Rhinolophus ferrumequinum: one gene and its partner. The protein of the gene in region 2 purifies or fractionates together with the protein of the main gene of each other region. This does not show direct contact. Links are inferred from orthologs where the notes say so. Each region holds a gene or a part of one and is shown on either strand. Other genes may lie near its edges.

What was found. Proteins that work in one complex are often made in the same cells at the same time.
Region 1: the proteins of POP1 (region 2) and RPP25 purify together in Homo sapiens (affinity purification with mass spectrometry; 3 studies listed by BioGRID and IntAct, counting the BioPlex papers as one, with this or other methods). This does not show direct contact. The link is inferred for Rhinolophus ferrumequinum from reciprocal best matches to the Homo sapiens genes POP1 and RPP25.

Annotation. Positions count from the first base shown.
Region 1 is NC_046289.1:99,496,831-99,504,697, forward strand, and holds the start of RPP25 (ribonuclease P protein subunit p25), read right to left. Parts: upstream 2,861-7,867; 5' UTR 2,651-2,860; coding exon 2,009-2,650; 3' UTR 1,622-2,008; intron 1-1,621. UniProt on the Homo sapiens protein: Component of ribonuclease P, a ribonucleoprotein complex that generates mature tRNA molecules by cleaving their 5'-ends. Also a component of the MRP ribonuclease complex, which cleaves pre-rRNA sequences.
Region 2 is NC_046297.1:40,023,175-40,030,058, forward strand, and holds the start of POP1 (ribonucleases P/MRP protein subunit POP1), read left to right. Parts: upstream 1-3,867; 5' UTR 3,868-3,878; coding exon 3,879-3,984; intron 3,985-6,244; coding exon 6,245-6,388; intron 6,389-6,884. Other genes in the region: RIDA (2-iminobutanoate/2-iminopropanoate deaminase), read right to left, coding at 3,622-3,686. UniProt on the Homo sapiens protein: Component of ribonuclease P, a ribonucleoprotein complex that generates mature tRNA molecules by cleaving their 5'-ends. Also a component of the MRP ribonuclease complex, which cleaves pre-rRNA sequences.

The DNA.
Region 1 (7,867 bases), on a different chromosome or scaffold from region 2:
TGGGGACAGGTAACATTCTGAAGGTAGGGCAGCAAAAAGCCCCCCTTTTCTCCACGCCCCGGGAGATTCCAGGCCAGAAGGGGACTTACCTGACCCAAGTCATCGGAGAGAAAGCCTCTGCTTGCAGAGTCCTTGTGACTGCCCAGTCAGGACTTCAGACACTGGTGGTCTCGGAGCATTGGCCCTTTTCCAGAACCAGGACCAATCTCTCTTAAGCTTCTACCTCTTCTAAGTTTTGTTTCTTTTAGATGAGGAAGCCCAGAACCAACCCAGGGCTCCTTGGTCGTTAGGATAATTTATATTCTTTCCACCCTTATTTGGCCACCTGAAAGAGTCAACCAGCCTTCCCCAGGGACTCATCAAGAACAATAAATTGGGAGGGCAACCAGTGCCAGTCTGGAGGGGAGGCCTCCCTGACCCAAAGCTCAAGCAGAGACATGGGGGAGGGACAACTTCTGTCAGCTGCAGAAACGTACCTCTTATCACCAGCAGAAGGATTTATTTCAGGGTTCTGCCAGCAAAGTGACTTACGTTTGTGTAATGTAAGTCCCCATCTCCTCCTTTCCAGGGTGCTGTTTTGTTGCATGGGGTGAGGTGTGCTTCTGAGGTCATGGGGCTATGTGCCCCCCCCTTTACTTGCTGGAGTTCTTCCAGCACACAGCACTTCCTCCTCCCCCAGCTGAGTTGGAGTTGGGCAGAAAGGCTTATGAGGCCGTTATCTCTCAGCAGACAGCTGTGCAGGGCTGGAGGCAGCAGCTTATCAGGGAGCCTGCAGGGATTCACAGCCCAAGTCCCAGCTTCTCTGCTGAATAGTAATTTCCAGCAATGGATTTGTGCTCATCTCTCTCCGCCCCCTCTCCCAAGGGTGTGCTGTCCTTTCTTAGAGAGAGGAGCAGTGAAGAGGAGATCCTACCCATGGGATGAGGGGCTTTGTGCTGGTCTTCTAGACAAAGCTCAGTCTATTGGCAGGAGGCTGCAGGTTTAGGGACCCCAGTAGGTTCTGCCACTCTTGGCAATGACCTCCCGGGGGAGTTCATCCATGCTCTTCTTCCTTTCTCTCCTAGAAAAGCAATGTGCTGCTCCCTTTTCCTTACTGGTGATGCACAGGGGGAGACAGGCCTCCTTCCACCCACAAGCCCGAGGCCAGAGGCAGTCAGGGAAGGCTGGAGAGAGAGGGAGAAGCCAGGGACTGAACACTGTGCTTCTCACACCATTTTGAAACTGTCCAGTCTGTGCCTGACCCTGAAGACTCCAAAGGCTAAGAATCCCAGGCTGGAGGGGACTGAGACACAAGGGGGCAGGCCAGAGCTGTCTTTGCCCGGCAAGTGGTTAGGAAAAAACCTGGGACAGAGCCATTTTTGTGTTTGTTTTATTGGAAGCAAGACTCCAGCTGTGGGGCTCAAGGGAGGAGGCATGGAGAGTTCTGTCCTGGGTCTGTCCCTCTGGGCCAGCATGGGGAGGGGGGGATGTTACAAGAGCTAGAGCCAGGGGCGATGCCTGGCCACCATAATCTCAGGATGTTCCTTAAAAGCAGGGGAAGGAAAACTACAAAGGTAAATGTCTTGGGGTGAGGGGCAGAATGGGGCTCCCCACAACACAAACTCCCCTACCAGTTTCTCACCCCTTGCTCTCCGCTGGTGGGGGTAATTCCAAGAGCTCCCTTTGGCTTCCACACTCCTCCTCATGAATGCTGGGTGTCTCTAACCGTTCGGGGTCCTGAGTAAGGCTCAAGAGTCCCACTGCCCGGAATTCCCTCCCTGAAGAGGATCCCAGTATGGCTCAGAAAAGATGAAGGTTGCTTTCAGGCAACACAAGTGGAGGAGCAACCGCCCCACGAAGCTTCCTTGGGTCCCTCTCTTGTGGTGTGGGGTCCACGAAACCAGTCTGAGGAGTTGAGAGCAGGCTGTGAGCTCCGGCTGACCGAGGTGTGAACGGCTGGAGGTACGTCTCAAGGTGGAGGCGCTGGGGCTAAGATCCAGCCCGTCTGGTGGCCCAGGGCCGGGAGTGTTCAGGTCGTCTGATTCTCTTCCGCAGCACCTGGCTCGAGTTGTGACCGCTTCGCGGAGCCTTCTCCAGCAGCGGGTTCCCTTAAGCTCCTCTTGGGCGTTGGCGCGGTTGGCTGAGATGAAGAGTCAGGATGGGGGCTCGGGGGCTGGTAGCCAGGTTGATGCGGATCCAGTGCATCTTTGGAAAGTAGGATGGCGAGGCTGGGCACGTTCTTAAGTACACTGAGGCTGGCGGCCGGCTCACTGGGCTTCTGCTCCGGCGTGGGCCCTGGCGGGAGGCTCTGCCACACCTCGCGCACGCTCCGGTAGCGCAGCCGGGTGACTTGGTGCAGGCCAGCCAGGCGGCGCTTCAGGATCTCGGCGCACGTGACGGTCTTGGTGGTGGCCCGACCGCAGCCGCTGAATACGATGGCGCGAGTGGCTGGCTGCGCCATGCTGGCGGTGGCGAAGGCCAGCAGGTTCCGGATTTTGCTGCCCTCCTTGACCCTCATGTGTACAGCGCCGGGCGCCAGGTCCGCGAAGGGGCCGGAGCCCGGGCCGCCCCCCTCCGCCCCACCACCCCCCGGCGCCTCCTCCGAGCGCACCTTACGGAAGTTCTCCATGCGCCGTCGTTGCCCGGACCGCGGGGACGCGGGCTTCGCCATGGGGTCGCCTCAGCCTCGGAGCTGCATGGCCGCTGGTCGACTGGGTAAAGGCCGGCAGGGGTAAGGGTGCGGGAGCGGCTCGGACGCTGGCGGGCTGGCTGCGACGGCGCGATCGTTGCTTCCCACTTCTCTCCAGGGATCGCTGCTCTATTCTGCGCTCTCGGCGCCGGATGCTCCGCGCCTTTAGCGGAGGCCCGGCCTGGGAGCCTGGGAGCCCCGCCCCTACCTTCAGGCCCCGCCCCTAACTCGGTCCTCTCGCCTCCGCCCCAGCCTCACCCGCCTCTAGGAATCCGGTCAGATCCTCTGCTATAGGGGCGTAGGAGCAGCGCGCATCCTGGTGCGCAACGGCAGCGCCAGAGGGTGACTTGGTAGGCGAAGTTCCCCTATAATCGTCATCAGCCCTCCCCGAGCCAACCCTTATAAACGGGCAAGCTAAATAAAAACTGTGTTTGCGTTGCAAACGCCGCTTCAAGCAGGGTCCCCAAGCCCTTCCGCGTGCGTTCCAATTGAAGACAGCCTCTTCTCCCCTCCCACGGAGAGACTTACAAGCGGCCTGCAGGGCCTCTTTCCCCCACTCCTTTGGGGACCCCCCCAACTCTGTCGCTTCCGCTCCTGAGCCAGTATTCTTGGCTCAAGGACAGCCTGTGCACGGTCAGCAAGTGCGGAAGGCGCTGTCTCCGGCCCTACTCCGTGCCTGCCCTCGGATGACTACGTCGCGGCGTGGTCCTCACGGGGCAGCCGGAGGCTGAGGTCTCAGCCTAGCCGCGCCTGACTGCTTTGGAGGTTACCGGACACCGGGACACCCCTGGGGAGTAGGCAGTGAGGCTCTTGGCCAAACTGTTCCCTGGGATGAATGGGAAGAGAACAAGGAGATCCCTTTTCAAGGGGGGTTAAGCTCCTTCCACCCCTGCCTGAAAGTCTACTATTAGAGCTGCAGGCCTTAGGATAAGCCAGGCATGTTTCCCTGCTGACGTGAATCCCCCTTCTTCCCAAGTGGTTCGCTGTCAGTCAGCTTTGGCCCCGAGACCTCTGGGGTCCTTTTCCAAAAAGGAGACTGGGCGAAGACAGATTTTAAAAGAGAAAAGGGAGGAAGATGGGAAGTTGAAGCTTTGGTGGCATTATGAAGCTATTGGGTGCCCCTCTCCGGGAACTCCGCTGGACCGAGAGAGAGTGGCCCCAGGTCTCCTGCCAGGAGAGATGAACAGTGAAGCCAAGAGGCGAGGACTGCTGAAGGCAGGCAGGGGTTTGCAGGAGCGGGACCCTTCCTAGAACGGCCCCAGCGCCTTTATCCTTCCACCCATCTCACGCACCTCACAGTCAGAACTGAGAGAGTGGGGCAGACTTGATCCGGGTGGGGTGCCTAAGACGGAACGTGGCGGAGTGGCGCACGAAGAGCTAGTGGAGGGCAACCCTGAAAGTGTTGGGGGCACGACAATGTCTGGGGAAGCTGGGCCCCAGTCTTAAGATGGAGCTGCCGGAGTCCTCCTCTCCCTTTTCAAGGCTGCTATCGCCTCCTCGGCATCCTGTAACTCCTAGCTCTCGGCCTTTGCTGTTCAGAAATCCGGGCTAACCCCATTACCGCTCTTTGGGAGTGGCTGGAGCAGGTGGACCTTTGCGTCCCAACGTTTGAGTGACGGACCTCCCCCGATCCCCTGGTCGCTCGCTGGGATGAGGGGCCCTCCGGTCGCGTTCTGCTCTGAATCTGGACTTGGGCCCCGCGTGAGCTCCCGCGGGCCCCACGAGGAACAGCCATAGAAGCCGGAGGCACAGCAGCCTTGAGAAGACACAAAGACTGCAGCGCTTGAGGGGGGGGGCGCAGGGGACCCCACACTCTGTAAGGCCAGGGAAGTTGTGGGACTTAAAAGGCGGCAGTTTGGCTAGGCCTGAGAAAGTCCCTGAACAGCCGGAAGCTATCTTGTTTCCCGGAAAATAAGACCTAGCCGGACCATCACCTCTAATGTGTCTTTTGGAGCAAAAATTAATATAAGACCAGGTCTTATTTTACTATAAGACCGGTATAATATAATATAATATAATACCCAACCGTATTTTGCTATAAGACCCGGTATAATACAATATAACATAGTATCATATAACATAATATAATATACCGGGTCTTATATTAATTTTTGCTCCAAAAGACGCATTAGAGTTGATTGTCAGGCTAGCTCTTATTTTCCGGGAAACACAGAACCTTGGATCGGGTTGTTTAGGGAAAAAGCAAGCTCTTCATCCGCGGGGTATATAAACCAAGGCAGAACGTTCCCTTGGGTGTGTGGAGGGGCATGAAGGCAGGAGTCTGCAGTTTGGAAGAAAGGGCCTGTGAGCTCTGGTTTTGCAAAGGGTGAGGATGCGGCGCCGCCTGGTCTGGCCCGGGAAGGCGGGGCTCCCCTCACCCTCCTCCCGCCCCGCGCCTGCCGTCAGCTGTACAGGACTTGGATTCACTTCGCTCCGGGGTCCTTGAAGGGAGAGCGCCGAAAAGGCCCGCACTCCCTCCTCCCTGTCCCCTCCCCTTCCTCGCTCCCTCTGCAGCACTTAAAATGTAAATGTACACCATGATTAGCCGCTGGGTCTCTAATTACCGCTGAAGCCATTCATTACCCTGTCAGCGCGCGTCGTAGCCCGCCGGCTGTGCGCTCCAGCGGGGCCGCCGAGTGGCAGGGCTGGGAAGAGGGGGTCGGAGGGATCCGAGAAGCGTGGGGGCGACGCTGCGTAAGTAAGAGTAGTGAGGTCCGCCGAGAGGAAGCGGGGGCTGCAGAGGGGCCACGCCGGGCAGGAAACGGGGTTGGCGCGGAAGCGCAGGGCCAGGGCAAGGAAAGGAGAAATGCGGAGGGAGCAGCCTGGAATGGGGGCGTTATAGACGTAGCAAAGATGTGAGGGAGGAAACGGCGATGAGGAGCGGGAGGAAGGGAGAGTACGCGGGGAGGAACCCGGGGGAAGGGGCGGTCGCGGTCCGGAGGGGAGTGGAGGCTCAGCTCTGGGAAGGTTGGTTGATAAATTGGAGCTTCTTTGGCCGACACTCCTCGACGGTTAGAACCGTGGAGAGTCAAGACTTTCTGTTAAAAGAGTCGGGTGCTAGCTGTACACACTGTGGGACCACAGGTATTTTTAAAGGGGGAGATATTTCCGTGTGTGTGTGTGTGTGTGTGTATGTGCGTAGATGTAAATGTATTTTTTAAATATCTGCAAGAAGACGGCATACGACATCTGTTACCTCTAAGGCCGCTTCCAGTTTTTGTGGGCCTCTTTAAGAAAAGAACTGCTAAATTACTAACTATGAATACAAAATTCAGCCCAGAGCCTTGGGACTGCCCGTGTCAGTGAGGTACTCACCTTGAAGCCTGAGCTTCATTAGCTTCTTTTGCCTCTGTGACCTTGAGCGTTTACTTTACCTCTATTCCTTAGTTTTCTAAGCTGTAAAATGGTGCTAACATAGGAACCTGCCTCATAAAGTGATTGTGAGACACCTAACAGTCTTAGAACATTAGCTAGTAAGTTCTCAGAAAATGCTGGCTAATAGTTTTCATATATTATGTGTGTTTAAGATAAATTTAAAAAATTTAAAAAGGGGGATGAAGGGGAAAGAAAGCTGGTGAAAAGGAAAGGAAATGAGCAAATTGGAAATTGGAAAGGAAATTAGAAATTGCAGTTTTCCCAATATGTTAGGGACTAAGGAGTGGCAAATCAGACTCCTTTCACCCTAAGGGGAGGTGGTGACAGGCCTGGCTACTGGGGCACCAGCCCCTGCTCTGCATTGGCCAGGCTTATGCACCTTTCCAATAGTACATCTTGCTTCTCATGGACAAGTCTCTTCTCACCCCAAGACTGGGAGAAAAATCCGTGGCACAAGATAGGTCTCCTTCTCCTCTGTCTCCAATGGCGGGAAGAGGACTCTTCCTATAGACAGACCCAGGGAAAAGACCTGAGGCTGAAAATATGCTTCTGTAAGTGGAGGGCAGGGAAAAGACCGAAGAAAGAGTCACAGCACTCCAGTTGGTAATTAATGGTGTTTATTAAGGGAAACTTAGACACGAGGCATGTCTTGGGCGGCTGCAAGAGAATTGGATTCTCCAGCAGCTTGGCAGGCACCAAAGAATTACACAGGGTAAAGGAGGGGGTAATCACAGTACTAGTATGTGAACGCCACTCGGTATGGAAATTGCTTAACATGCTTGACCGAGTCAGGACAACAACCTGTTCCATCAACCGTCACAGAGCAGGAGGCAGGAGAGGGGTGCTGATTTGTGTCAGAATGAACATTAATTACGATACGACAATCTCTAAGGCAGCTTTGCAGAAAGCAACCTCTATTGTGGCCTGGTTCCAGTTTGCTGGACAGAAAGCAGTCACATCCACATCAGGAGCATGAGGACCTCCCAAGGCCTCTGGTCCTAGTCCCAGCCCGGCCCATGAATGGGGGGGGGAGCATGCAAATGAGTCAGGAACTGGGTGCTCAGGTTTATCAGGCCCCCACCAAGGGCCCAGCATTGGGCCAGGTACTCTCACAGTTCTATTCCCTGATTAATCTTCACAATCTTCCTTTCCATCATTGTTTAACAAATGTGGAAACAGAAGCACAGAGAGGGTAAGTAACTTGCAACCACAGATATCTGAATGCAGGTGCTCTGACTCATTTTACTACCTCACCTGATTTGAGCTGCCCAGTAAAAGGAAGAGAGGGGGTTCCTAGAGTGAGAAAGATGTATGGGTTATTTACTGCTGCATAAAAAAAATGACCCCCAAAGGCAGCAGCTTAAAACAAAAACATTCATTATCATATATAGTTCCTGAGGGCTAGAAATCCAAGAGCAGCTCACAGGTGGTTCTAGGTCAGCGCCTCTGGTGAGGGTACTGTGAGGGAGTCGGCTAGTTTTGGGGGATTCACTCCCAAGCTCACTCACATGTTGGTCAGAGGCCTTCCTTACCACATGGGTCTCTCTGTAGATCCGCTCCTGACATAATAGCTGGCTTCCCCCAGAGCAAGACAGTGGGGGTGGGGGAGATAGAGATGGAGATGGAGAGAGAGAGAGAGAGAGAGAGAGAGAGATGCCAGGTACCTCTTCTCTTAGACTGAATCCTGGCCTCCAGAGTCTGTTCTAGACCTCCTGGCACTAGACCTCCTGTAGCAGGAAAGGGAAACAGGGCAGAAAGCCATCAGACAGACACAGTCCTCCCCAGCGACCCATACTGAAGGTCCAGGCACTCCAGGGTAGAGTT
Region 2 (6,884 bases):
GATTAGCTAATTAGTGACAACACCCCATCCACCCCAATGCCAGGGACTGAAAGTTCAACACATTTGAATTTTTCCTGGAAAAGACCCAGAATTTTCAAAAAGTGCACTCACTACCAACTCCATGCATAAAATCTCATTTTCCAAATGGTTGTTAAAACACGTCCAATTAACTTTATCAGGACATAACTAGTTAGGTGGAGTATGTTTTTTTCTTCATAAAATATTGAAAATTAGCACCATTTCTAGTATCATTTTTGGATACAAAAAAGCACAAGAGGCACAATATCCTGGAAAGTCTCCACACAATGAAGCTGGTTGATGGCTTTCCTCTTGTCATACGGGCATATTCATGGAATGATTCCCTTCTCTTTTGCTTGCAGCTTTATAAAGATAGTTGACTCCCAGGTCAGTCAACCAGGGGTACTACTATCCTGCTTTCTTTCTTGAACAAAGTATATACTTGAGGAAGATATATGCTCCAGGCTCTGTGATCACTTTGCTTTGTTAAGGATCACTTTTATTCTGAGGTAAAAATAATGGGTGATTGAGGGATAAGCATTAGGGCATAAGGAGGAAGAAGATTACTGATTTTTTCTTTTACTGTAATATCCCTTATCTATTCTTAATATCTTCTCCTCAAATTACTATCAGAATTCTCTTCTTAAAAGAGATCAGATCATGTCACTTCCTCTTCAAAAACATTTGATGGCTCCTCAGTGCATTCACAATAAAGTTTATACTCTTCAGTTTAGCGTTGGAAACCATCACAATTCAGACCTTGTAACAGCTAATGTTTAGCAAGAGACAAAACAAAAATTCAAATTCAAAGTCTAACTCCTAACAAGTGTTTGCCAAAGCGTAGGTCACACACAAATACAGAATATCAGTAAGGAAATGATTTCCTTTCCATTCTCTTTCTTCATCTGAAAAATGGGGACTGTAATACTAGTAACTGTGTACATAAAGCACTGAGAACAGTGCCTACTGCTGAGTAAGCCTCAATAAAGGTTAGCAATTAAGAGTTCAATCCGCTAATTACATGGAGAAAACAAGTTAAAGAAACCTATCATTTTTAAAAAAAGAGAAAGGCCTTGGGTTTTGAGCCAACTGCAGTATCTAGCTAGAATTTAATAACATTTTTTATTCTATTGAGTTTATTTTTTACTGTTACTGCCTATTGGGTTTTCTATTTAGAGTACTGTCGTAAAGTTTGCTTTTTAAATTTGTAAAAGTGAGCCATCACAAAATAAAGTGTAAAGTAAATTATAATATAGGTGGTACACAGATTTGGCAAATGAAAAAAAGAGTTTAAAAAGAAAAGAAAAAAAGAGGAAAAGTGGTACTTGGATGACTAAATGTTACTCCAGAAAATCTTTATGCCATGTTTTCTTCTAGCTCTATACCTCAAGTCATTCACTCTAATTAGAATGCCCTTCACTCCACAACTTCCTGTTGAAGTCCTGAACAAAGTACAGTTCAACCCTGAACAATGTGAGGGTTAGGGGAGCCCACCCCCTCCCAACTGCTGAGAATCCAACTTTTGACTCCCCCAAAACATAACTACAAATAGCCTACCCTTGACTGGAAGCCTTACCAACAGCATAAATGGTTAACACATTTTGTACATAATATGTATTATATACTGCATTCTTACAATCAGGTAAGCTAGTGAAAAAAATGTTATCAATAAAATCATAAGAAAAATACATTTACAGTATTTATTGAAAAAAAGCCACGTATAAGTGGACCTGTGCAGTTCAACCCATGTTGTTCAAGGGTCAACTGTAATTTAAAAATCAAACTTTACAATAGTACTGTAAATGCAAATCCAACCTTCAAAACCCACCTCAAAGACTACCTCTCACTAGGAACCTTCCTAAATCTTCTGTCCCTCTGCCCAAGGTTAGCATCAAATTCTTTCTTTTCCTCTTTTGTCACCGCTCACCCAACCTCCATGTCCCCTCAGTCCCACTGCACTTTATTTCTAACCCTACTATAATAATTACTCATCTGCCACACGTAAGTGTAGGGCTTGTTCAAATTAAGCTCTGTCACTTGCAGACTGTTTGACCTTGGACAAGTTCACTTTGAGCTTCAGTTTTCTTTTTGTAAAGTGGGGATGGGACTTAAGAGAAGTTGGTCTGTTATGGTGCTTGCTATGCAACATGCACTAAATTAAAATGTTTGTTTTTCGTTTCCCGATATGTGTGACTGTCTTTCATACTGGATTGATTCTTACACATTTTTATATCTCCTGCAGTGTTTGGCAAATAGTAGGTACTCAATACATGTTTGTCATAGTTCAAGTGTTCCAGTTGCAGAAATTTTCCAGCTGTAGTTAACAGTGAACATACTACAGACTATTTTAAAAAGGAAAATGGAAAAAAGTTACAGGATATACTTTAGTGAAGAATTAAAAATAACAAAAGTAATATTAGGAAAAAAAGTCTCCAAGAATGCATATAAGGTCCAATAATTTTAAAGCTGAGACATTTTTAAGAAAACAAAATCTAAAAAAAAAAAAAGGAATTAAACTTTCAATTTAACAGTGCTTCTGTACACAAGATAGACTTCTGGCCAGTATACCTATTTTAACTAGAGCATGTCGGGCAATCTTAGAAAATGATCTTTCTTATGATTTGTATTTTATTTTAGTAGTGTGAAATAAACATGGGCAAAGAATTCATAAATATCACAATGCATTTATATATGTGCTGTAAAATCCAGGGTCGTGGGTAGATGTGCAAGGTTTTGCTAAGCATTTCTGTGAAAAGAACTCACCTCTCCCGAGGGCACCCACATCTGTGGATAGGATTTACTCCTTTGAATTAAGACAGAATTAGACCAAACATTATGCCAAGTGAAAGAGAAGTCAAGTCACAAAGGACCACATATTGTAGGATCCATTTACTATACATTTAGAACAGGCAAATCCATAGATACCAACAGTAGATTAGTGGTTGCCAGGGGCTGGAGGAAGAGAGTGACTGCTAATGGGTATAGGGTTTCTTTTTTGGGGTGATACAAATTCTGAGATTACATACAGTGTTTCCCCGAAAATAAGACCTAGCCGGAAAATCACCTCGAATGAGTCTTTTGGAGCAAAAATTAATATAAGACCAAGTCTTATATTAATTTTTGCTCCAAAAGACACGTTAGAGCTGATTGTTCGGCTAGGTCTTATTTTTGGGGAAACACGGTAGTGGTGATGGCTGCACTACTCTGTGAGTATAGTAAAAAAGTCACTGGATTGTACACTTTAAAGGGCTGAATTTTATAGGTATGTGAATTATATCTCAATAAAGCTGTTACAAAATAAATAAATAAAAAACAGACCACGTCTAACCCCAGAAACTTTCTGGCTGACTGCGCTCCCCCGTGAGGCAGTCCACCCGGGTCGGGGCAAAGTCTCCGGGAGCGCAGGCTTTGTGTCTTAGTGGGGTTCCTAACCCACTGTGGGTCCATGGGTGCGTTGCCCCGTTTCCCGAGTTAGGTTTCCTCAAGTGTTAGATTAGGTTGGCCCAGGCCCACCCCAGCTATGATCCGGGTGGTCACTGCCGAACAGCTCACCCCACACCCGACACGCCTGGGGTCCGACCGCGCTCCCACAAGCCTAGTTACCTGTAGGGACCAATGGCCCCTGGGGCTTTCGTGGTGCTGATCACCTTTCTGATCAAGGATGACATAGCTAATCTTTTTCCTTTGAGGCCTCTTGGAGAGAACTATCCGGTACACTACCCCAGCTCGCGACTACTGGACTATCCAGAGTCCAGCAGTGCCACCAGAAACAAGACGCCGGGGCGCGTTCGCTCAGCGTTCTGGGAGTTGTAGTTTCCTTGCGGCTCTCGGCCACGTGGAGACAGCGGTCGCACTGGCGCATGCTCCCTCCAGCTCTCTCACCGTTCACGTCGTTTTGGAGACTGTGGCGGAGCCTTGTCATTCTGACCGGGAAGCCCTGGCTTCCTCCGTCGGTTCGTCAAGCAGGTAGGTCATGAGGGGATGGTGTCTGTTAGGGTCCGCGACTTTGGGGGAGTGAGTGAGTGTGTGTGTGTGTGTGTGTGTGTGTGCACGCACGCACCCTGCCCGGCGTCCGCGTACTGTCCCCCACGTCCCCACCCCCTATATCTTCTCTTCCCTCAGACCCCACTGGCTTCTTCTTCCCTTGCTGTCTGCTCCTGGGCCCCTCTTGCCGATCCCACACCTCCCTCGGCCCCTATGCTCGAGCCCTCTAAGTTTATCATTTTGTTGCATTGCCCCACCGGGCGGAGGCCGTTCTGGGAATGGGCTTTTACCTTCTCTCCTTAAACCGTAGAGGAACGAGATGGATCATTCAGGGGACCACGCTGGGATTTAGTCCTTTTCCACCTTCCCGCCCCTCCCATGTTCCCTTTTTTTGAGTACTCCTGGAGCTTTACGAGGTCTCCATGCGTTCCGCTTTGATCTGAGCAGAGCCCTAGTGTGTGGGATCTGATTTCAAAAAGGAAGATAGTGATCTTGATCCAGCAAAGGGCCCCAGGGTTGGTCACTTGGCAGCTATGCAATCGTCATGCTGTGTCAGAAGAGTGATACTTGGCTATTTTTTATTTTGTTAATTAGTACTTTGCAGGTACGCTTCACTCCCTCATTTATGCGCACATATGTACATTCAACAAATATACATTGAGCCCCTTCTTTGTGCAAGGCACTTCGCTAGGTGTTGGAGAAACAGGAGTAAAAAAGTTAGGTAGGATCCCTGTCCTGCCCTGCTTTTAAAACATAATATAAGAAAATCCTGTTTATTCTCCTCATTTTGCCCCACATACTGCTAAGGTTTTGGCTTTCCTACTTCTGCTCAAGAACTTTCGTGTTTTTTCATTATTTCATAATGTCATCTAATACAATTTTGGTGAAATATTTGCATACAAGAAATGCATATCATTTATTAAAATTACTTTTTAGTTCTTTTTTTTTAATGATTTTTTTTTATTGGGGAAGGGGAACAGGACTTTATTGGGGAACAGCGTGTACTTCCAGCACTTTTTTCCAAGTCAAGTTGTCCTTTCAATCTTAGTTGTGGAGGGTGCCATTCAGCTTCAAGTTGTTGTCCTTTCAGTCTTAGTTGTGGAGGGCACAGCTCAGCTCCAGGTCCAGTTGCCGTTGCTAGTTGCAGGGGGCACAGCCCATCATCCCTTGCGGGAGTTGAATCCAGCAACCTTGTGGTTGAGAGGATGGCACTCCAACCAACTGAGCCATCCAGGAGCTCAGTGGCAGTTCAGCTCAAGATTCCGTGTTCAATCTTAGTTGCAGGGGGCACAGCCCACCATCCCTTGCAGGACTCGAGGAATTGAACCGGCAACCTTGTGGTTGAGAGCCCACTGGCCCATGTGGGAATGGAACCGGCAGGCTTCGGAGTTAGGTGCATGGAGCTCTAACCGCCTGAGCCCCCGGCCGGCCCCGGCCCCCACTTTTTAGTTCTTTAGATTACAATTAGGGCCCATATTGTAGAGCATGCATTGATAAAATTTATACATGTCTGGTAGGTTATGTTATTAGTGAATTTCATTTAAAAATAGAAAACGGGTCTTTGAAACTATGCAGAAAAAAAGGGGGATGTTGAAAATTGAGAATTACTGAGTAAATCCATCAGGCTTTTCCAGATTATTGTCCTTTATCCTTCCTTCAAATTGAAATATTTTTGCTGTTATAAATTAAAGGTGCAGCTGGCCTCATCTCAGTAGTAGAAATGAAAACATCAATAATTTATGTTCAGTTTTCGTAAAGGTTATCATATCAGAATAGTGTGTTCTATATTTTAGTGATTCAGGTGGCTCATGTTTTACCCAAGAATTTTGATTAAATGCTTTAGTTAATTTAATTTTTTATCATGGCATAGGGATCTTATCTCATACCTCATTTTTCATTCAAAAGACTTTATGCAGTTGCCAACATTGGTATATGATTTAATTATTTGGCAGCGTAACTGGAATGTACCAGTATAGTCTCTTGCATCAATAGCATTATTTCTTCTATTGAATCAGATTTTTGATGTTAATACCATTCATGGCTCCTCTAGAGATCCCCCTGGTTATTAATCCCTGCTATATATCAATATCATGATAACATTTTGATATCACCAATCCACCTGAAATAAATAAAGATTTATTATATTGAAGAATTAAATATTGAATCACATGAATATTTATTAAATTTATTTTTGAATGGAAGTTTCCTTTCCCTGTACTAAATTTGTTAACTTTCTTCCCAGAAATGTCTAATGCAAAAGAAAGAAAACATGCTAAGAAAATGAGAAACCAGCCCACTAATGTGACTTTATCCTCTGGCTTTGTGGCTGATAGAAGTGTAAAGCACCATAATGGAGGTGGAAAACCTTTCCGAGCTCAAAAACAAGGTAAGATACACCTAATGCTCTCTCCACTCCCATTTGGAGCAAATTTCTTTCCTCAGCACCTTTTGATAGTTATTATCTAAATAGTAAATGAGCTGAGTTAAAAACAGATACAGTTGACCTTCATTATTTGGAAATTTTGTATTTGCAAATTCACCTAGTTGTAAAAGTTTATTTGTAACCCCAAAATTAATACTCATGGCACTTTGGTGGTCACTAGCAAAGTGGAGAAAAAATTCAAGTCACCCACATGGACGTTCCCAGCTGCCTTCTTGTTTCAACTTGCATACGGAGATGACCAGAGGATGGAGACAGTGGGTGGGCAGTGCAGTATAGTGCAAGAAGCTCCAGCTCTTAGTGGGGTTTGAATTCCAACTGTGGGGTGACCTCAGGCAGGTCACTTAACACTTCTGAATGTGATTTTCTCTTTTGTAAAATAAAGAAAATAGAACCTACCAGGATAAGTTGTTTTTACCATTTAAGATTATAACCTACGCGA